3 linked regions of the Lonchura striata genome follow. The protein of the gene in region 2 interacts with the protein of the main gene of each other region in a pairwise test. Links are inferred from orthologs where the notes say so. Each region holds a gene or a part of one and is shown on either strand. Other genes may lie near its edges. The genes, in order: RNF216, UBAC1 and CPSF6.

Region 1 (7,318 bases), on a different chromosome or scaffold from region 2:
ATGTCCAAATTCAATAATTTAAAGGGAGTCTTAAAATATCTCCAGATCAAAACCATCTGCAAACAAACAAACAAAAAAATCTCCAAACTTCCAATGAGAGGAATGAGTGGTGCAGCTCTGACTGTCCCATAAAGAATGCAGCCAGTGGCAAGCCCCAACACCCAGCACTGCTGGCACTCACACACAATAAACCACTCACAATGGCTTTAGAAAGATATAAATAAAAATAAGACACCCATTCCAAATTAATGAATGGAAGCTTCTTCCAGCAGGCAACTAAACAACACCCAAAGGGCTTCACATCTCTTGCACTTGAATTTGTGCTACTCCAGGTTGCTAATCAGCTCCTGGCCCCTGGGATATGCTTCCTGCCTTCCTCCAGCTGCGCCAGAGCCGCCGGAATTGTGTGTTTGCCCCACCTATTCTTGCCACAGGACTTTTCAGTGATTTGTGTCCAATTTCAAAGCACAAGGCTCGCCAGCAGCAGGAACGCCCACCGCATTCTCAGGCAGACAAAACACTGGTCTACCCCGGAACTTGGACTTCGGAGGCAGCTCCTGAAACTCCAGCCCAGGAACAGGCTGCCAGCACCCTGCTGGAAACCAGACTGCACCTTATCACCAGTAACACCTGCCCCAAGTGCTCTTCTAGGAACTGCTGCTCCTGCCCCGACTGCCTGCAGCCAGGCCAACCAGAAGGAAAACATCCTCCTAGGAAGCAAGAAAAAGAGATGGAAGAAAGCCTGCTACCACAATGCAGCACCTCCAAGAAGGCTGAATGTCTACAGATCTTCAGGAAATCTGTCTGAGTCCCTTCCCAAGTCTTGGTGTTCCAGGCACAAACTCCTGTCAAGATGACGGTTTATGAACATCCAGTCACACCACGAAGACACCCAGCACATGAAATCTATTAACGTGTTTACAATTGCAGAAGGCCTGATGCAAGGCAGTGGATTTTTTGCACAGCATTCATCCTAGAAACTAAAAGCACACATTAAAGCTGTAAATCCCAGAGTTCTGGAATGAAAAGCTGTCCCTGCAATCCTACTAGTCCAAAACAAAACATGGTTTGAGCCTCTACCACAGGCCTTGTACCTGTTCAGGGATGTACCAGAACCTGCTCAAGATATTTGGATTTGCAAAATGATGGGTCTCAGATTTCCTGCCTCACATTCCAAGCAGGTTGCTGGAGGAAAAACCCTCATGCCATCCTCTCTGAAAGCAGGAGAGGCCACATTAGTTGAGCAAAGGCCAGTTTAAATGCCTGAGAGGGGACACCTGCCTTTCCCTCCACTGCTTCCACTGGAAACCTGCAAGAGCTCCAAAGTGCATCAGGTGGGAGAGCAGAGATTGTTAAGAAAGAGGACTCAAGCTCCACAGAGACAAAACAGAGAAGCAGAGATCTGCCCATAGGTCTTAGGACTGGCTGTGCCTCTCAGCCACCAAGAGACCCTCTAGAACTGCTAGGATTGCCTGAAGCAATCCTGTTCCATAGGGAAAGAAACACAGGAGGGAATACTCTGAAAATCACATGGACATCAAGCTTTAGTCCCTTAGTACCACGTCGGGATTATGGAAATAAAAGTGCACATCAATATGGAAATAAAATAAATAAATGGAAATAAAAAGCAACATCAGCTATTCTCTTTCTCAGGATAGCGACCAAACTGAACAGAAACATCAACAACTAAACTTATTTGTACGAAAACTGCTCTAAGCATCTGTCAGTAAGATTGTAAAGTAAGGTACTGGAGGACACTCAAAGAGAACACTCCAGATCATAAAGCACAAGTGAGATGAAAGGAAAAACTCCCCAGGCTGGGCTGGTAGGTGCAAGCAGCCATTATCCACCCAGGGTCCTATCCAGCACAGCTGCAAATCCCAGGATCTCTGGGATGACTCTTTAAGCCAATCCACATTTTGCCCACCCCAAAGCACTGCCCCAGGCGTGCTCACACTCCTCTCTTCACACACACGCTGGAGCTCCCACAGCTCTTCAGCCTCAGGAGACCTCGGTGAGATCCTGACCTGCCTCCAGCCTTCTGGGGGAACAAGGTCAGCTCCAGGGGCAGAAAAACTCATTACATAAACGCAGGGTACATTAACACTTCCAGGCTGTGCTCTACCACGGCTGGCTGGCACTTGGATCAATACAGAAAGGAAAGAAAAGGAAGAGGAGTATCTCTTACACTGATCCCTCAGCTCTGAGGACAGCTGTGTTTGGGGTTTCTTTCCTGCAGCAGCTCCCACAGCAGATTCCTGAAATGTCGAGATGTCCCAGCAGCACCGAGTGCTCCCACACTGAACAGGGGTCAGAAGAGAACAACCTTTTACTCTCCTCTCCTCACAAGCTCCAAGCACCGGGCCCGGGGTAGCCGGGGCAGCCCAAAGAGCCCCGGAGAGCAGCGCCTGTCCCCGGGTGTCCCTCGGGGCTGCGGGGGAACACGGGGAAGGGACCCCCTGGCCCCGGGAAGGGGGAGACGGGACCGGCCCTGAGGGGATGCAGGGCGGAGGGAAAGGACCCAGTCCTGAGGGGAGCTGGAGGGGGAGGGGGTGTCCCCGATTCTGAGGGAAAGCGAGGAGGAAGAACTCGGCCCTAAATGAAAGTGGAGGGGTACGGGAGGACGGACACGGTGGACCCGTCCCTTCAGGAAAGCGCTGGGAGGAACGACCCGTCCCTGACGGGAAGGACCGGCCCTGAGGGGAGGTGGGGGGGAAGAGAAACAGACGGAACGGACACCGGGCCCTGAGGGAACGCGGGGAGAACGACCCGTCCCTGAGGACAGGCCCCAGCCGGGAGCAGCGCCCGACCCCGCAGCGAGGAGAACGGCGAGGCCCAGGGACGGCAGCGCTGTCCCGGCACTCAGCGGCCCCGCGGGACGGAGGGGCCGCCCCGGTGTCGCCCCGGCACTCAGCGGCCCCGCGGGACGGAGGGGTCGCCCCGGTGCCGCCCCGGTGTCGCCCCGGCACTCACCGGCCCCGCTTCATTTAACCGCCGCTGCCGCCGCTTCCGCCCGGCCCGCGCCACGTGACCGCGCCGCCCCGCACCATAGAGAGCCAGCGAGGGAGCGCCAGAGCGGCGCGCGGGGACGGCGGCGCGGGCGGGCCCGGCACGGCCGCGCTACCATAGAGAGGGGCGGGCGGCGCCACGCCCCCTGCCGGGCGGGCGGTGTCCCGCGGGGAGGGGGCGCGGCCAGCGCCGCACGTGGGTGCGGGGCGGGGCCCGGGCCGAACTTTTTGGGGGGCTCAGGAATTTTGGGGGGTGCGGGACCCCTGTACGGGACCCCCCCACCGCGGTTCTGGGTGCTCGTGGAGGCCTAAGAGAATGGCAGGGAAGCGCTTCTTCCCCCCTCGGACACCGCGTTTTAGATGGGGACGTCCCGCAGGAAGAGTAGAAAATGGAATTTGAGGGATTTAAGTGGCTTGCCAAAGCCGCCAGAAAAGGAGATAGCCGATTCGTTGAGCTCCGCATGATTTCCTAAGAGAAATGGGATAATTTTAATTGACTTTTCAAGAGGCTCACGTCGTAGAGAAGTCCTGGAGCAGCCCCTCTACAGCACAGCCCACCCACTGGAGCTGGCTCCAGAGATTCTCCTCTCCCTTAGAGCCAAAAGGAAAGCAGAAATCAGGAAAATCTCACAAAAAGTACTTATTAAAGAAAACAGCAGTGTGTGACAGAGCACTGAAGGACTGACACGAACTCCTGCTCCAGGTAATGAAATCGTTCAGTCCCTGCCGCGGGCTGACGCGAGGGGTGGCTGCAGCAGCTCCCCGGTCATTTGTTCATATTGTGAAATTACTCAAAGAACAAAAAGCATTTTATTTGTACTCCCTCCTTATTTATTTATTAAACCAAATTATGGCCCAGCTTTCAGCATCAGGGAGGGAAGGCACTGCTGCAGCACACACCAACACTGAGCAACCTCCTCGGACTTGTTCCTGTCCTCCACTTGCAAAGCAGCAGTAATGAGGGAAAAAAATGCAAACAGGAAAGCAAGGATTCATCAACATTAGTGAATCTTTCTCCAGCTTTCATTAATGGGGAGATTACAATCTTTTCTGCAAATTGAGGTTTTGGTAAAGCATCAGGACAAATAATGAGAAAAGAAGGGAAAAAGGTGAATTACTGAAACAAAATGTTCTCCCTGCAGAGGAGGACTTTCATCTAGGCAGTCCATACAGATCTGTTAAATCAATTGCATTTTGATACTTTGTCCACTCTTTTCCTCTGATTCCCACAAATATTTTAACAAAAAAGCAGTGGCTACCAAGAGTTTAAAGTTGTGAGTTTATTGCATATGTAACAAAAATGAACATGACCTCCTGGGTCCAGCCTACTATACAATCACTGTTTATTCCAGCTGGTTCCATAACCACATTAAATAGAACTAGTATTTCTTTAAATACTTTGATTTAGACATAAAATGAAACATTAGTGTACAACTTCCACAAAATAAATCTGCAATAAAAACAGTGGGAAGAATAACAAGGATAGCAGCAATACTTAAACATGACATTACAAAATAATAAATTAAAAAAATACATTATAAAGTGGTTGAGGAACAACAACAACAACAACAAAAAAAAATTAACAGATTAAAACCAGATCCATACTGCGTTTCTGGGAATTTGCTGTGCCACACGGCCCCGAACCTGGGCACTGGCTCCAGAGGGCCCGGTGGCTGATCAGTAATTTACAAAATCTGTTGGATTTTACAACCACCTCGACTTGAACTGAGGACAAACTGCTGAGCTTCGAGCAGCCTTTTTGGAGCAGGGTCTTGTCTAACATAATGCCCAAGTGAACACTCACACCCAGCCAACAGTCTCGTTCCTCCCCGCTGGAACACACGAGCAGAGTGGTGTTTCCTACATCCCTGAGCGTAGAGTAGAGGCTGAGGAGCAGAAGCAGGGCACGGCTGATGGAGCAGCTGTGGCTGTGCCGTGGGACAGGAATGACAGACACGCTGTACCTTGTATTTCCTTCGGGTCAGATCCAAGAGTGTCCGTGCACGCGGTGGGACGTGGAATGACAACATGAACACGCGACTCCATGGTTTTCTTTGGGCAAGTTTGAGAAGTAACAACCAAGTTCAAGTGCTGGCAGACCGAGTGGGAATGGACACAAATTCAGACAGCTGAGGTTATCCCAGACCTCTGAGAGCCACTGGCTCCAGCCATGCTGTTGGCATTTTGTCCTTCTCTGGCCTTGGAAGTGGGCATGGGAAGAACAGCCCATGGCTCCGAAGCCATTCTGCCTCACTCCTTGCTGTTCCTCCATCCACCCAACCAGCTTTAAGGTCTGCCTCAAAATGCATGTACAGAACAAGACAAAAAATGTCTTCATCGTCACTGAAGTGGCACAAAATTGCAAAGACAACACAACGGGAGAGGTGGTGAAGCTGTTGAAAAGAGAACTGAAATAATTTAAAAGACAGTGCCCTATTCTCGTTACTGTCAGCACGGAGGAGGTACCTTGACAAGGGCTTTTAAATACAGCAAAAAACAGACGGACTTTTCGAAACAACAATCCTTGCCTATTCTTATTTTGTGCATTCAATAAAACACTGACCTAGCAAAGACATTAGGAACTATCTTATGTCAACTGGGTCGTTGACATAAAGCTACTTGACCTATAGATCTCCAAATCAGGGGCCTTTCCCTTCACCTCACTTGGTTTGTACTGAGCCAGTTGTGCTGCAGGTGTGACAGGATTTTTATTAGGGGTGGGTTTTAGTATCTGGGCTTTTGGGGTTTTTTTACACTTCTTTTAGTGAAAAACCCACATGAGACTGCATGCAGAGCTTTTGGGCAATAATCAGTTTTGCATTTTTACTATCTGACTGGTTTATTGCACATTCAAACGTACTGAAAGGATTAAATACACTCTATGAACAGGTTTGACTTCAAAGCAATTTGGAAAATCCAGGGTTGTGGGAACTCTGCTTCTCAGCCTGGGACCGTAGGGATGCTGTCTGCCAACTGCTGCACATCCCAACAACCAGAACTGCAGAAACTGGTCTCCAAGTGCCAAAAGATCCCTACAGAACAGGGGGCTGAACATACCTCTCCTGTACAGTCCTGCAGGATGAGCATCTTTAGCCACCCTGTGCAAATCTCACATTATGGTACAATTTTACACCTCCGATGCGACTCCCGACGACAAATCACAAGAATTATGGTCAATGGCAAAAAGAAAACCACAAACAAACAAAACAGAGATAGATGCCAGGTTTTGACAAGTGTCTACTTTCTGTCCTATCACAGTTTAAAGCTATTACCAAATGCAATTAAATAAAAAGACAAAATAGATGTATTCCAGTAGACATCTCCTAAAGACAGTCTCTTACCCACAGCTGAATTTCAATGCACTATTCCATTAATGTTACATCTGTTAAGTGGTTCAGTCATGAATCTCTCTAAAAATCAGGCTTGCCAAAGAAAAAAAAATCCTATACAAGCAAGCCTGCTTAAGTTTAGACATGTTTGATAGATAACTGGGTCTCTCTGAAGCCATGTTATTTGTTAAAATACCGTCTCATCTTGGTGTGCCAACTGGAAAAATGTTAGTGATTGAGTGTCTTAGGTTACAATGTAGGATGTAACCAAAGGTATGTATTCTATCACAATCTCCTAAAACCATCTGGGGCAGTGTTCTTTATCTCTTCCATGACACATCCCTGATAACTCCCTCTGGGGGAATTATCTTCTGTTAATGGGTCATTAAGCCTCAATGCATGACTCATAAAATCACATCACCCACTGTGAGATGCTCCACCCAGGGGGAGGAACCAAGCTTCCTACCTGGATATAATCTGAGATTTGGACCACCACAGGCAGCCCTTACCTACTGCATTCCCAGAGGACAAGAGCTACATAATCACCACTGGACCTTCAGAGGAAGACCAGACCCTTCTACAGGACCACTGCTTCAACAGAACCACATTGATCACTTCATCAGGACTGCAGCCACCACTAACTTGGGCTGCCACCACCACCCTGACCAACAGGGTGTCAGGTCCTATCCTGACTGTCACTTTAAACCAGTGTTTCTGTATTATTGCCTTGTTATATATGCTAGTAAAGAGCCATTATTCCTATTTCTCCTATCTTTGCCTGAAAACCCCTTAATTTCAAAATTATAATATTTTGGAGGGAAGGAGGTTACATTTTCCATTGCAAGGGAGGCTCCTGCCTTCCTTAGCAGACACCTGTGTTTCAAATCAAGACATTCAGGTATTGTATTTGCTTCTGTTACCCCTGTGTTAGAGAACAAACCTTTTAATATTAGTTTCAGATATTGGAAAAAATAGCCTTAT
Region 2 (7,308 bases):
CTGCTGCTGTTCTCACCACAAAACAGGACACTTCATACTGACCTTGCCTGCTGTGCCCACAGCAAACTGCTTTTAATGACACTTCTAAATATTTCCACCAAGCCACTTCCACCATGTCTGCAGAAGAGAGTGTGCACCTTTTGTGCACCCAGAAATCCCACTGAAAATCCTAATTTCGGTGGAGCATTTAGTGCTGTTCTTCACCAGCCTCCTGCAAAGGAGCATTTTGACTCCATCACCACCTTCCCTGCTGCCTGCAACTGATGGAAAACTCAGCTCCCTGCTGTTTGTCCAACAAAACACTCTTGCTCCCAATACAGATTCTCACCTGAACTTTGGTTCTGATGCCTCAGTGAGACTGAGGTGAGAATATCTGAGTCCTGCTTTGTCTGACAGGAGCCTCTCAGGGAGCCTCCAGCCCATGAAGTCTGAACCAAGGCCAGAGAACACATCAGCAGCTGGGAGCACCTCCTGGAATGGATCTGATAAGGTGCCCAAAATGCCTGGGGACATCAGTGGAACATCTCTGCAAAGCAGCTCAGAATATTCCTGGGACAGATCCTGAGCTAGGAGGAGCTGAAAAGGGCAGCTGGGAGGTGTTTTTGGGGTGGGCACACAGACCTACTTCCATTTCCCCCACCACATATAAAAAAGTATGTAGGACAATCACATAATAGATGTGGGCAGTAATTAATCATAAAACTAATCAGGTAAGAGTTTAAGCAAAAAAATAAAGTTCTGTGGCCACCAAATCTTATTTCCAGTTCTTCCAACCATTTTGATAACAACTGCAGAGAATAACAGGGCAGATATGGGCACTAGAGACACCAAAGAGGCTGCTGAGTGAAACACTTATCAGTGACACTCAAGATGGCTTATATTCACATTTTAAATGCCCTGGAAATAGAAAAAAACACCTGACCAGAAGTGCCTTTACTCATTCTCACCTTTGCTTTTTAGTTTTGGAGTTCCCAGCAGGCTGCTCTGCCTGGCAGGGGACAAATATTTATCACAGGTGCCCAAGCAACTGCTGAAATCCTAAGCCCTGGTGATGCCAAACACCTCTTGCAAAGCTTGGAATCCTGGTAAAACCACAAAGCTTTGTTTGTTTTAAAATACAAAAAAAAAGGCTTCTTTTTTTTCTTGCTTTTAATAACAGAAACATTTGAAAGTAGCCCTGACACTCCCTCCTATTAAACTTGGGTGGTTGAAACCATCTGTTTAAACAAATGGGGGAAAACCAGTGGGAGAGGTTTGTTTCTTTGCCTAACTAAAGAGCCCAAAACATCAAATTTGGGGGAGATAAAGACATCCAGAGTGGCACTTCAGAGATCAGCCAGCATTTGAAGGTTATGGAGGGAAAAGTGGCCACTTCCCCAGCTGCAATCCGTTACAAACATCTCCCTCTGCTTCCTGAAAGATTTCAAATTTCAGAGACATTCAGGAACAGACTCATCAGTCTCTTGGAAGAGGTGGCTGCAGAAATGATCTCAAGGTGTTATCAAGATTCAGTCCATGAGCAGGAGCTGTGATTTCTCCAGATCTGTTTTCCCCCTCATAAAACCATTTATTATCCATTATGGTTATGGGAATCCACTCCAGGATGGATTTTTGCACAAAGCAGCAGAGATTGAAATCAAATATCACCCTGAGTTATCAAATTGTGCCTAAACCTGCTCTCTGGCAGTGTGAAGCCATTCCCCCTCGTCCTGTAGAACTCCATCCCTCTCTCCCTGTACTGGAAGGGATCCTGGGCACCTTTATTTCACCCAGGAAATAAAAATTTAACCCTTCAAACGGGAGTTAAGCGGTTAGAAAATACAGGATTTTCTCCTATTGCACAGGTTTTATGTAAAAAGAAATCTTTGTAGGACTTTGAAGGCAAACCCCCCCACACCATTAAATGTGATTTAGTGAACTGTGCTCCCAGGGACAGGCTGAGGCTCCAGCTCTTGCCAGCCCCAGGAAGAAATGCAGCAGGTCAGGAGTGCAGCTGCCAGCCCAGGCTCCTGGCCACGGGTCACCGTGTCACACGCTGCTGCTGTCAGTCAGGCCAGCACTCCCACAGTGTGTGGGGCTCTGGGGACAGCAGCCTGGCACTGCCTGTGCCCCTGGGCACAATCTCCTGCCACACGGTGACACTTTGGCCACCTCCACCAAAATCTCCCTGTTTAAAGCACGGGGAGAGCGTTAGGAGGCATTTGATCTCCCCCAGAAACGCCTCAGTGCCAGCACAGGGGGAGGCTGCACTCGGATTTTAACAGAGCAGGCAATTTGTGCTCTTCAGTTCTCAGTTTCTTCTTCCTTTGCTCAGCCACAGAAAAACCAGGATGGAGTTCAACTCACACAGCACAGACTGCTCCGACACCCCAAAACACACCCCAAACTCTGGAACAAAACATCCCCAAGCGATCCCTGCCCAAACCCCCCTCTGCCAACACACACAGCTCTCCAGAAGGCGGATTTATTTTATTCCCACACGGAGCAGTTCCAGGCAATCCTTGGGGAAAAGCAGACACGGCGCACAAAGCCACCTGCCCACCTGAGCTGATTTTTTACCCCATCCTCTTTTAAAAACCATTTACAGGGCGTTGAAAAAAAAAAAAAAAAAGCCAGCTTTCCTCGGGGGACAATTTTCCTTTTGCCGGGACTGTTTCCCCGTCGTTCCCTGCTGGTTCCCAGCCCCCAGAGCAACCCCGGCGCCTCCGCCCGGCCCCGCTCCCGCTCCTTACGTGCTTCAGGCACCGCTCCTTCAGCTTCTCCACCGTGGTGTCCTCGGCCACCTCCTCCAGCCACTCGGCGCCCTCCATGGTGCACACATGGAGCCTCAGCACCTTCCCCGCAAAGATCTTCTCCTCCTGCACGAACATCGCTCCCGGTCCCGCTCCCGGCGCTTCGCCGCCGCCGCCTCAGCAGGCCCCGGGCAGCGCCGCGCGCTCCCGCCCGCCCATGCAGGTGACCCCGGGCGGCCCGGGGAGCGGCGGCCCGGCCCGGGGAGCGGCGGTGGCTGTGCCCGGCCCGGCCCGGCCCTGCCCGGTGGCACCGCCGCTGTCACCGCCCGGGCCCCGCCGTCCCTCCGGGGACACGGCCGCGGCCGGAAACGGAAACGCTGCGCAGCGCGGCGGCATGCTGGGAGGTGTAGTTCTACCGGGGTGGGCTTCTCCGGAAGTGAAGGAGTAAAACCCCCGCCTCCTCCCCTTCGCGCCCCTGAGGCTTTCAATCTTTAATAAATCTTTAATAAACCTTCAATAAACGATTAACGGCACTGACGTTTAATGACGTTTAAGTCCTTTTATCAACGGCACCTCCGCGCCGCAGTTATGACGGAGTTGCCCGGATGCATTGTGGGATCGCGGCGTCTCCCCCCATGTCCCGGTGCATGCCGGGAGTTGTAGTTCCGCACCGTGAGGCTCGGGGGTCCCCGCGGCGGCCCGGGCAGGGCGGAGGGGTCGCGGAGCCCCCGGGACAGCGGGAGGCACCGGGGCGGTGCTGCCGTGCCCAGCGGGGCCGGGCGGAGGGGTCGCGGAGCCCCCGGGACGGCGGGAGGCACCGGGCCGTGCTGCCGTGCCCAGCGGGGCCGGGCGGAGCGGCCGCGGGCAGCGGCAGTTCCCCGGCGGGCCGGTAGAGGGAGCCCGCGGGCCGCCGCTCCCCGCTGCCCTCGGTCCTTTTGATATCGTATTATTAAAGCTTTAATATCAAAGTTAACTTTGATATTGTGAAAAATACATGGCTTATGATTGGATTTTTGAAAATATTACAATAAAAATATATGCGCAATGTTAGATAGTTATACTGTGTTAATTCTCTTAAGTAGCGTGTTAAATATAGTTTAAGTTCCAGCATAATGTTAAAATAGAGACTATATATGTAAAGAAAGTTGTTTTTTTGTTTGGTTTTTTTTTTTTTTTTTAAATAAAATACTCACTTCAAAGAACACCTTAATCTTCCGGGAAAAAAAAAATATAATTTTCTTATCAGAAGAAGCTATTTCTTCAAACCTTACTCAAACTCAAAAACACCTTAAAAATTAAAAGAAACAGTTAACAAACAACAAACAAAGTTTTTATTTTAAATAAAATATATACATAACCATAAAAGATATAGAAATATACAACACAATATTACTTTTAAAGTTATTCCTTTGTTCACAAAGTATACTTTCCATAACTTAGTATCCAAAAACATTCAAACATCCATAATGCTTTACTTTTTATTGTCTTATAATATTGTGCAAAATACATATTTTATGATTGGCTTTTCACAAGTATTACAATAAATAGTATATGTGTAATGTTAGAAAGTTATACTATGTTAATTCTCTTAAGTAGCATGTTAAATATAGTTTTAAGTTCCAAAATAATGTTAAAATAGAGACTATATATGTAAAGAAAGTATTTTTTAAAAGAATAAAATACTCACTTCAAAGAGCACCTACATCTTCCAAAAAAATTTATAATTTTCTTATCAGAAGAAGCTAATTTCTTCAAACCTTACTCAAAAACACCTTAAAAATGAAAAGACACAGCATACAACAAAGTTCTTATTTTAAATAAAACGTATACATACCCATAAAAGATATACAACAAATATTACTTTTAAAGTTATTCCTTTGGAATTTTGGGGGTTTTTGGAATGGGGTTCAAGGGACAAGATGGATTTGGGCATGTCCTGGCCTTCTTCTCCTTCTCCTTGCCCTCCATGTCTTGCTGTGCTGGTGACACTTTTCTGTTGGTTTAAGGTACAGACACACTGTCCAATATAAATTATAGATATTGGCACATTATTGTAAATATAGTTCAGGTAGTTTTTTCTATAAAATATAAACACAGCTCTGAGGGCAGACAGGATGGCACAGCCGAGCTGCTGGACAGAGCTCAGCAGGGCAGAGAAAGGAGGAAAAATAAATAACCTTGAGGAGCTGATCCTACACATTCAGACTCCTTCTCTGGCTGGGAAATGAGGACTCTGACACTGCTGGGGTCACCCCAACACCCAGACCCCGAGACTGGGTGACCCCAAGTCCTTGGGATGGGCTGAGCACGAGCTGCCCGACGCCAAATCCACCCTGAACGTTTCTTTTCCACTGATTCCTGGTGGATTTGCTGCTTCCAACCTTTCCCTGCCCCATGGTGGGAGCTGAGGTCTGGGGGTGGCTCAGGAGGTGCCACTCAGAGCTGCTGGAATTGGGGACAAGCAGGGCAAGGCTTTGCTGGGAGTTCTTTTAAAGCACCAGGGAGCAGGGAGAGATTCCCAGCAGGACAAATCCAGAGGTGGGGAGCTCCTGGTGTGCTCAGAACCTTCCACAGCCATAAAGGGGCTCTCTGCTGCAAAGGAGAAGCAATATCTGGGGATGAATCTGGAGCAAAGGCAGGGAAAATAAAAAGAGATTTCTGCTCTCTGGCCATCTCTTGCATTGAAGCAGCTCTTGCCTAACAAAAGTGGAATACTTTATTTCCGTGCTTTGAATGCAGCTCCAGTGTGCTTGATAAAATGAACCCATAAAATTGCAAATATGAGGCAATTTGACTACTGATGGCTAATGCATCATAAGGGCCCAGGGAATGGAAGCATTTAAAAACACCCCATCGAAACACTGGGCACTGCCTCCTTGCCTTGCTCCACAGCAGAATAAATAAACAATATGTGTCTGCTACGCTGGTACTGTCCAAAGCCAAAGGAATGAGAGCACAGTGTGTTACTCGCTTTTTATGGCTGATCCATTATGGCCAGAGACCAACGTGGGGATGAGAAAAGGGGGATCAGCAGCTCTTTCCCTTCGAGGAAAGGGAATTATTATTATTTCACATCCCCAGGGGAATTATTTCCCGTGGCTGCATCCAGGATCCTTCCCTGTTCCCCAGCATTGGCCTGGCTCTGCTCCAGTTTTGGGGGGACAGAGCCCACAGCCCTCAAACACCTCAAATACCTCAAACACCCTCTGTGGTGCAGGGGAATAGTGGGAGAGCAGCTCAATATTCCTGCAGGAAACAAAAATACCAGGGAGCTGACCAGGAACACAAAAAGAGGCTTTTCACAGGGGTGGAGAGCCAGGACAAGGGGGAATGGCTTCAGACTGACAGGGAGCAGGTTAGATGGGATCTGAGGGAGGAATCCTTCTCTGTGAGCATGGGGAAGCCCTGGCACAGGTTGCCAAATCCCTGGAAGTGTCCAAGGTCAGGTTGGACAGGGTTTGGAAAACACTCTGGGACAGTGGGAGGTGTCCCTGCCATGGCAGGGCGTGGAATGGGATGAGTTTTAGGGTCCCTCCCTGTGGGAATGCAGAGCTTCCCTCTGGCTGCCCTGGGACCCTGGCAGGGGTCAGGAACCCCCTGGACAGAGCCCCAGAGACACTGGCTGTGATCTCTGGCCATGGAAAAGAGTTTTCAATCTTACAGCATAAATTAGCAGCTCTGAGTGTTTTATAGAAGTGATAATTAAGTGTGGCACGGGTGAAAAAGTAAAATTTTAGGATTCTAGATGAGGGGTCCAAAGGGGACAAGATGGAGAAAATTTGGTGTGCCTTGTCCTTTTTCTCCTTCTTCATGCCCTCCATGTCTCACTGTGGTGTTGGCATTTTTCTGTTGGTTCAGGCTGGGGACACACTGTCCAACGTAGGTGACAGATATTGGCACGTTCTTGTAAATGCAGCCCAGGGAGTTTCTGGTATTTAATGTTTGTCACATCCCACTGAGGGCAGAGCCCCACACGCTGCCCTGCAGGACAGAGCTGGGCAGGGCAGCAGAACATGTGAGAGATAAACAGAATAAACAACCTGGAAACCAGCACAGACCAATTATGGCTTCTGCTTTGGCAGGGGGCTGACAGACAGAGACTTTCTACGATCTCAGAATCATTAATCCCACAGATTCTGACACCTCCCTACCCAAGGAGCAGAGGTGTGGGAGCAGGACCTCAGAGCCCTCCCCAGTCCCATTCCTGGGCTCGTTTCTTCTCTTGCAAGGACTCCAAGGAGCTGATTCCAAAGCAGGCAGTGCTGGCAGAGTGGGAACATCCAGCTCGGGGGAATCCACACCAGCAAACCCCGTAATCTCTTTTAAATTGTCTGAGAGTGGGAGGAATAAAAGAGACTGAAAATTACACACCTTCCCCCCCCCCCCCCCCCCCCCCCCAGCTTTTCCTGGGCAATCTCAGAATTTATCGAGACAACTCCTGTGGGATGCTCCATCATGTCATCCAGGACTTGTGTATCCACTCTTCTCCCGCCGCTGCCGAGGGAAGAAATATGATAACGGGCGGGATAATGAAGCAGACATGTTTTCTCCAAATCAAACCCCTTCTCTCTCCAGC
Region 3 (7,273 bases), on a different chromosome or scaffold from region 2:
ATTGACTAATGCTGTTAGCCCAAGAACAAAAAGTATTATTTTCATGAACAACAAGTTAATAAAAGAGGCAACACTGACAGACAATGAGGTTCAGCTGGAATAGGAAAGATGCATCTTCACTCAAAAGATTTTTTATCAAGTTTTGTAACCAAAACTAAATACAACCCATGACAGTTTATGGCTATCATCCATCTTAGCCAGCTTGTAAACCCATGGTTCTGTGGTCTTTATTTCACCTTTATAACCTATGGTTCATTTAGCACTAATCAAGCAGAACAACCTTACCCTCCACCTACTTGGAAAAAGGCATTAAAAAAATCCCAGAAGAGCCTCAAGGATGAGTACCTTGAGGTGTAGAACAAGACAAAATAACCAAGGGAAGTTTATCCAGTTAATAAGTCCTAAATCTAAATGAAGGGTTAACTCCAGATGCAAACACAAGTCTTGTCCCAGCTTGGGTATAAATACAGTTATGTACTGCATAGAGAAGAACAGCAAGCTCCACAGCACATTTTTCAGTCCCTGCCAAAACTAGTGGAAAGGGTTTCTATACTCCAATTTAAAAAATATTAGTACGTCACATTCATGTAGAACAACAAAATCAAAAATCAAGTTCATTTAACAGATAAAACCAATTTATTTTACAAATATGGTGTTTGTAAAATGCATAAATTGTAAAAATACAAAATCAAATTAATAATGGAAATCACTTTCTTCCTAAAGCATTTTTAACTGTCATCTTAACACATCCACATAATTCTGTATTATCCATTTAAGCTGTCAGCTTCAAATCAGGAACAGCACTTTGTTAATAAAAGTTTCTACACACCTTTTCTCAATGATGTCAGAATTAAGAGGCAGTAACTAATACAACTCTCTTTCACATATGACAGAAGGAAATGCCAAAGTGCAGAGGCATCAATCTCTCACAATTTTACAAAAGTAAAACTTTTATATTGTCTCCAGACTTACTCAGTTCAACAATATTACTTTAAATAAAAAGTCACAGAAATTAAATCTGGAAAATAACAAACAGCAATTTTTGGGGGTGTGTGCCACAGTCAAAAACACAGAAGAAAACCCCCTAAAACAAACAAACAAAACCCCCAAATTTAAGCTGATGGAAAAAGGGCAGTAGCCTCTTCTCACCTTTCTGCCCTGTATTTTGCAAGATTTATGAACTGAAACAACAAACTGCAGAAATGCAAACCCACAAGGGAAGCAACTGGAGTGAATACAGAGAAAAAGCAAAAGGGTTCCCTGCCTGCTGGATTAAGCTAAACTAAATTATCACAAGACTCTCTTCATTTGTAACACCATGGTTATATAGAATATCAACAGTAATGACTACCTGAGACCTAAGTAGACCAGGACCGTGTGAGTGAAACAGATCATCCCCATCACTTTTGTTCCAGCACTATCTCTTACAGCACATAACTATTCTACTCTGAGCCCTTCTGCACACATGAATTTACACAAACACTACCAGATTCAAGTGAGGGTTTTTTCTCTGAAAAATCTCCTTTGTTTTCAGTTTTATTTAGAATTGATTAAACCAAATTCAAGTTATCATAGAACCTCAAAAATGTACTCTTCTGCTGAATGGTGTCTGCCCTAGGGTTCATTCCTGTTTAAATTCATACAGTGGGTCTTCAACTGTAAGGGAGAAACCTTCACATACAGACAAAATAAGAGCAAATCAGTGCTTTTCATCATCTCCTTTTAGTATGGCACTCTTTCTGAGTACACCTTTATGAGATTATTAATACTCAGAATTACTGTATTAATCGATGTCTGAAGAAATAGTCTTCTAAAAAAGCTACAAGTTGCTGAGAAAGTTACATATTCCCTATGAATTCCAAAGCCATTGCTTATTTCCCAGTTCTCTGTAGGGCAAGCTGGCATACAGCCGGGCCCCGTAAGTTCCTGAAAGTGCAGTTGTTCCCGGTTATTTATGCTCTAGGGTAGGAACAAAGCAATTTGGGGCAACTCAACCTGGAGAAGTGCAGCACTCGCTAACAGGACAGATGGCATGCAAAACTCATACAACCATCGCGTTTAGGTAGGAAAGCTGGCACACGGCTGTGTGGTAAAGATGAGGGAAAAACACAAACAAAACACCAAAAATCCACAACAAAACCAAAAAAACCAAACACACCTAGAAAAAAAGAGGACTACTTATAATCCAGAGAAGTTTCATATTTCATCTATATTGCCTCAACAAAATATGAACTCACCCTCTAAAAAAGGCTTGTGTCACTTTTTAGAATGGAATAACAAGCAAGAAAAACAAAAAAGGAAATACAAAAAGCTGGATACTCTCTCCAGTGCTGCAGAATAAAGCCGCACTAGTTCCGCCTCCCCCGCAAAGCGCGGCCGAGGAACAGACACCGCTCGGCGGCTTTTCGATTCATCTACGAACAATGGCAGCGCTTCCCCTGCGCCCCGGCGGGAAGGGGCCGCTCTCCCCGCCGCATCCGGGAGGGCCCCGCCCGCCAAGCCGGCGCGGAAGAGCCCTCCGGAGCGGCCCTGAGAAAGAAAGGCAGAGAGGGAGGAAGGCTGGCAGAAACGGAACAGCGAGGAAAGGAAAGAAGGAAGGCGCTCGCCCCCGGCGCGCCCAGCCCGCCGGCACAGCCGCCCCTCAGCGCCGGGCGCGCTCCCCGCCCGGCCGGGCCGCCGCCGGCACCCGCGGCCCGGGCGGGGGGCCGCGCCCGCCCGGCCCCGCGCGGGCCCGCGCCCGGCGGCGGCGGGAGCGCCCGAACAATGGCGGCGCTGCGGCCGCCGCGCTGAGGGCCCTGCAGGCGGCGCGGCCGCGAAGGCGGGCGAGGGAGGGGAGCGCAGAGGGGAGCGCAGCGGAGAGGCCGCGCCCGCCGGCCGCGCGTACCTGGTTGAACTCCTCGCCCACATCGGCGTAGATGTCGATGTGGTCCACGCCGTCCGCCATGGTCCCGCCCGGGGCCGCCGCCAGCCGCGCCCGGCTCCCGAGCCGCCGCCGGGAGGGGGAGGGAGCGGGGAGGCGGAGCGGGCCGTCACTTCCGCGGCGGCGCGGCGGGGCTTCCGCCGGCGGCGGCGCCGGGCCGCTCCTCCCGCCCCGCCCCGCCCCGCCCCGCCCCGCCCCGGGCGCTCCCCGCCCGGCGGGGCCGCGTTGCTGCTGCCGCGTCCGGCCCGGCCCTGCTCCGCGCTGCTGGGCTCGGCGGGGCTGCGCCGGCCGCACCGTGCCGGGCGGTGAGGTCGGTGTCGGTGTCGGTGTCGGCGCTGCGGGGCGCAGGCCGGTGTGCCGCTCCGCCGCGCTCCGGGAAGGGAGCTCCAGCGCAGTCACAGCGCCTTGGTGCTCAGCAGCCGAGGCCTGTGGCTGTCGGCTGAAAATGAGCACCGCGCTGCGCCTTCAAAGCAGGGGCGCGCCGGGCTCCGGAGCGCAGTGAAATGTGCGGCAAGGACACAAAACAGGCACACGCCGAACTGCATTTAGCCACGGCTCTGCTGTGCTGCCGCAGAGCACTCTTTTTTAACGTCACAAAGTGAAGATAATTAATGTCAAGTCAATCGGGGTTCTTTCTTTCGGTGTTGTTTGTTTTTGTTGTGCATTTTGAACTGTTAGGGTTGCAGGACAGCTTCAAATTAATTTTGAATGAATGTTCTGTTACCCAGATCCATGTTTAAACTCCAGGTGATTTTTAGAAACATCTCCTGGTATATGAAGCGCAGTGCACATAATGCTCTACATAATAGGTTATGTTCTGCTTTGTACATTGTGTTCCACATCCAAAAATAAACCTGCTTTTTTTACTTTATCAAAAGCTGACAATAAGAAGCCTGTGCATCTCAGACTGAATTAAAATAATGTAAAAACATCACTGCAATGAATAAAAATGTTATTTTTAGCATGACTCAAGTTTTCTTGTTTCATGACTGGAAATACTTCACAGTGTTTGGATTGGCATCCAAAGTACTGACTTCATCTTGGGTCCTGGACCTGTGTGCAGATCATCCCTGTCTAGCAATCCCACACTGAAGTGCCCATGGAAAAGAAATATGAATAGACAAAAAAATAGATAAAAAATCGGAGATCCAAAACAAGGCATATGTTGTGGAGCGCACCTGCTGACAGTCTAGATAGATTTCAGATATGGAGATGCTTGGGTTATTCCTGGTGTCGTTATCCAACTGGTGAAATGATAAATTTGTCAGCTGCAGATCCTGTGTCATTCCTGCTGTTAATTCTGGAAGACGGAAAAGGGTTAAAGGGTTTTTATTGAAGTTTCCAGGTTAAATGAACTAGCAGATTGTGAGCCCTTTGGTAAAACAAAAACAAAAAAACAAAACAAAACAAAACAAAAAAACATCAAAAAAACCCCAAACATTTTAGAGGTGGTAGTTAGGAACATACAAACAAGGGATCTTAATTGAACTTCTAGTGTTGGTTACAATTGTGATTTACACTACTACATTTATCACAGGTTAAAAGTACATGTTCACATCTATGAATGCACAAATTACTGGTGAATGAAATGATTGACTGGTTTTGCAAAGAGAATCCACTTTTCTGGATTTCTCACAGTCCATACAGATGCTGTTAAAGTATTGAGATCTGTTTGGGTTCACTTACTTCCCTAATGGTGAACTGATTTAGTAACTAGTCTTCTAGAGAGTAAAGTGAAGCGCTGTGACAGTCACCACTTCTGGCCATGCTAAATAAAGCTGCTGAAATCAAGACAACCTAAGCCTTGCTATCCTAATGATCAGATTAAAAAATAACAGCAGATAGTAGGTCATATGCAATTGAATGTTTTATATTCATCTGAGTATTATCCATAGGTAGTTTAAAAAGGCAAGATAATAAAATATGAATGAAAGTCATCAGAACCACCTCAGGGATTACCACTAGCATTTGAACGATCTCGTGTGGGGCCTTTGAAGAGGCAGGAAAAAACATCAGCCTCTGCTTTGCTTGTTGTGATAATGAAGTGAAGCCCTTGGACCCCCATATGCTGTTTCATGCTCAGGAGTTTTTTCCACTTTGGAGCCCTTTTTAATAGTTTGACTTGCTAGATTTACTGTGCACAGTCATTTACAGAATAGATTATGATAATTGTTATTCTTGTATGCATATTACTAAGTAAATTCTGTAGGCAATGTAGGAGACTAAATATTATGCAAGCTGTTCTGTTCCATTTTTGTTGTGTTTTCATTCTTTCCATGGATAGACTTGCTAAATACGTCTTCCTCTTTCTTGTGGTCATCAATAGCTTCTTTGTGAATTACTGTGCCTCAAGGGAGCAACTTCAGGGTTGGTCTACTCCAGTGAAAATATTAATGCTTTATGTATTGTACACATTTAAATTATTTAAACAAAATGTTCCATCCTTCACCCAGTAAAATTCAGGAGGCTGGCTGAGGTGAAGCAGGGCTTGAAACAGAAATGTGATCATTAGATAAAGAATTCTTGGCAGTACAACATGGTCTTGGCGAAGTGTCCTCATAAGTTTTGTTGGGGACAGCAGGAGCCACTACGCATGAAGTAATCACAAACCTTTCAAACACTTAGCCCACCATGGGAACAAATGGCAGCAGATGAACTGGTGTCTTCCTTCAGTTCTTCTTTCACACCGTGGGATGTTCTGTCATTTGATGATGGCAGCTGGAACTCCCTTAATAGCAAAAGAAGGTGGGAAAGGCACTGTAGCAGTTCTACAAAGGAAGGTAGCCTTCAAGTCCCTCTTTCTCATGGATACACAAAAGCCTATTTACTTGTATATCGTTCCTTTGGTCTCTTGAGCTGTTAATGATGCAAATTCGGATATAATCCTCATTTTGAACATAAAAGCAGCAGTTGGTTCTCTGAGGATCTTGTAACATACATCTTGTTAGCCAACAGAACTCCCCATACCTTCCTCTTCAAAGCATTTCAGACCATTTTCTATTAGGATGTTCCTGCTGCAAGACAAAGGGGAGGAGAGCTATTTTACCAGCCCTTTGTATTGTATGTGATTATCTCAAAAATACTTAAATATATTACTTTAGTTAAGAATGGGAGAACCAGTTTCAATATAATAATGCTTTTAAACATTAACCTATTTTTGCCAGTATCAACATGGCAAAAATATATATTTATATTTCGAAAAATAATTTTATGTAGAATTTGCCTGAGGAATCAAGACTGAGAATAGTGCAGGATTTTTCAAATGGACTTTTATTTCAATATCAGCATAAACTGTTCTTGTAACATTTGCAAAAAGCTAATCATAAAATATGCATTTTTCACAATGCAGTAATGTTGTAGGCAACAAAGTGAAAAGATAAGCTATGAAAAAGTGCTGTGTTAATCAGGATAGTACTCAAAATCAGAGGAGACCTCAGCTTAGTTAAGGAGTGCAGTGTATGTTTTGTTATATAAACTTATGTCCTAGCTATGTCAGTCCAATTGCAATGACTGTTTTGTTTCTTTACTTGTAGACCTGAAGGCTTTGATCTTTCCAAATCCTCTTGGAGCCACTCTGCATGCCCTTTTATTGTTTTTCTCCCAGTAAAATATCCAAATAGTGAAAGCCTGTACACTAAGCTGTAAGAAATAGTTTTTTCCACTTAAATGCCTTAGTTTATAAAAGTCCACAGACAAAAATGTGAGAAAAAAAAAATATATTCTAAATGAGATGGCAAATAGGCTCAATTCTGCATATTTGCTTTCAGAGGCCAAAATTTCAGGTTTTGTTAACTCTCGTGTAACTGCAGGCTGAAATGAAAAGAGACAATTGTGTTCCCAACAAAGGTAGCAACAGCCTGTGCTGGGAAAGAGGGAATATTACCTCATCTTTTGGTTGCAGCTCACAGTTAGATTGGATTAAGTGTAATATAAAACTGCATCCAAAGGGCATCTACAAGAACTCCTACTGACAGAGCTATTGTAGGAAAATAGCTGGCATTATTCATCGCTTGCTCAGAGTTGTCTTTTTATAGGTATTCAATTGTTTTGGGATCATACATGTGAGCATTGTGCTCCATCTTTTTTCCCCTCTATAAGTGCCTGTCAGTCTACTGATTATCTTGGTTCAGCTGTTCACTCTGTGGTTCAGAGCCAGGTTGAAAATGGTGGTTAATCAGGATATGATTTGCAAATAGTATGCATCTTCTAACCCTCAAGGCAGGAAAGTGTATTAGAGAAGGTAAGTATAGTGCAAAAGGTGATAATAAATTCAATTGCCTCATTTGAATCCACTTTCATATGAGCTGCTAATCAGAGAGCTCAGTTACCTTCAGAAAAAGTATGAAATTGAAT

Evidence for each region.
Region 1: the proteins of UBAC1 (region 2) and RNF216 interact in binary tests that used the Homo sapiens proteins (3 or more experiments, as listed by UniProt). The link is inferred for Lonchura striata from reciprocal best matches to the Homo sapiens genes UBAC1 and RNF216.
Region 3: the proteins of UBAC1 (region 2) and CPSF6 interact in a two-hybrid assay, tested with the Homo sapiens proteins (2 studies listed by BioGRID and IntAct). The link is inferred for Lonchura striata from reciprocal best matches to the Homo sapiens genes UBAC1 and CPSF6.

Annotation. Positions count from the first base shown.
Region 1 is NC_134618.1:14,784,314-14,791,631, forward strand, and holds the start of RNF216 (E3 ubiquitin-protein ligase RNF216), read right to left. Parts: upstream 3,086-7,318; 5' UTR 2,974-3,085; intron 2,301-2,973; exon of another isoform or gene 2,189-2,300; intron 1-2,188.
Region 2 is NC_134624.1:9,223,449-9,230,756, reverse strand, and holds the start of UBAC1 (ubiquitin-associated domain-containing protein 1), read right to left. Parts: upstream 3,003-7,308; 5' UTR 2,871-3,002; coding exon 2,733-2,870; intron 1-2,732.
Region 3 is NC_134607.1:44,500,468-44,507,740, reverse strand, and holds the start of CPSF6 (cleavage and polyadenylation specificity factor subunit 6), read right to left. Parts: upstream 3,022-7,273; 5' UTR 2,945-3,021; coding exon 2,885-2,944; intron 1-2,884. UniProt on the Homo sapiens protein: Component of the cleavage factor Im (CFIm) complex that functions as an activator of the pre-mRNA 3'-end cleavage and polyadenylation processing required for the maturation of pre-mRNA into functional mRNAs.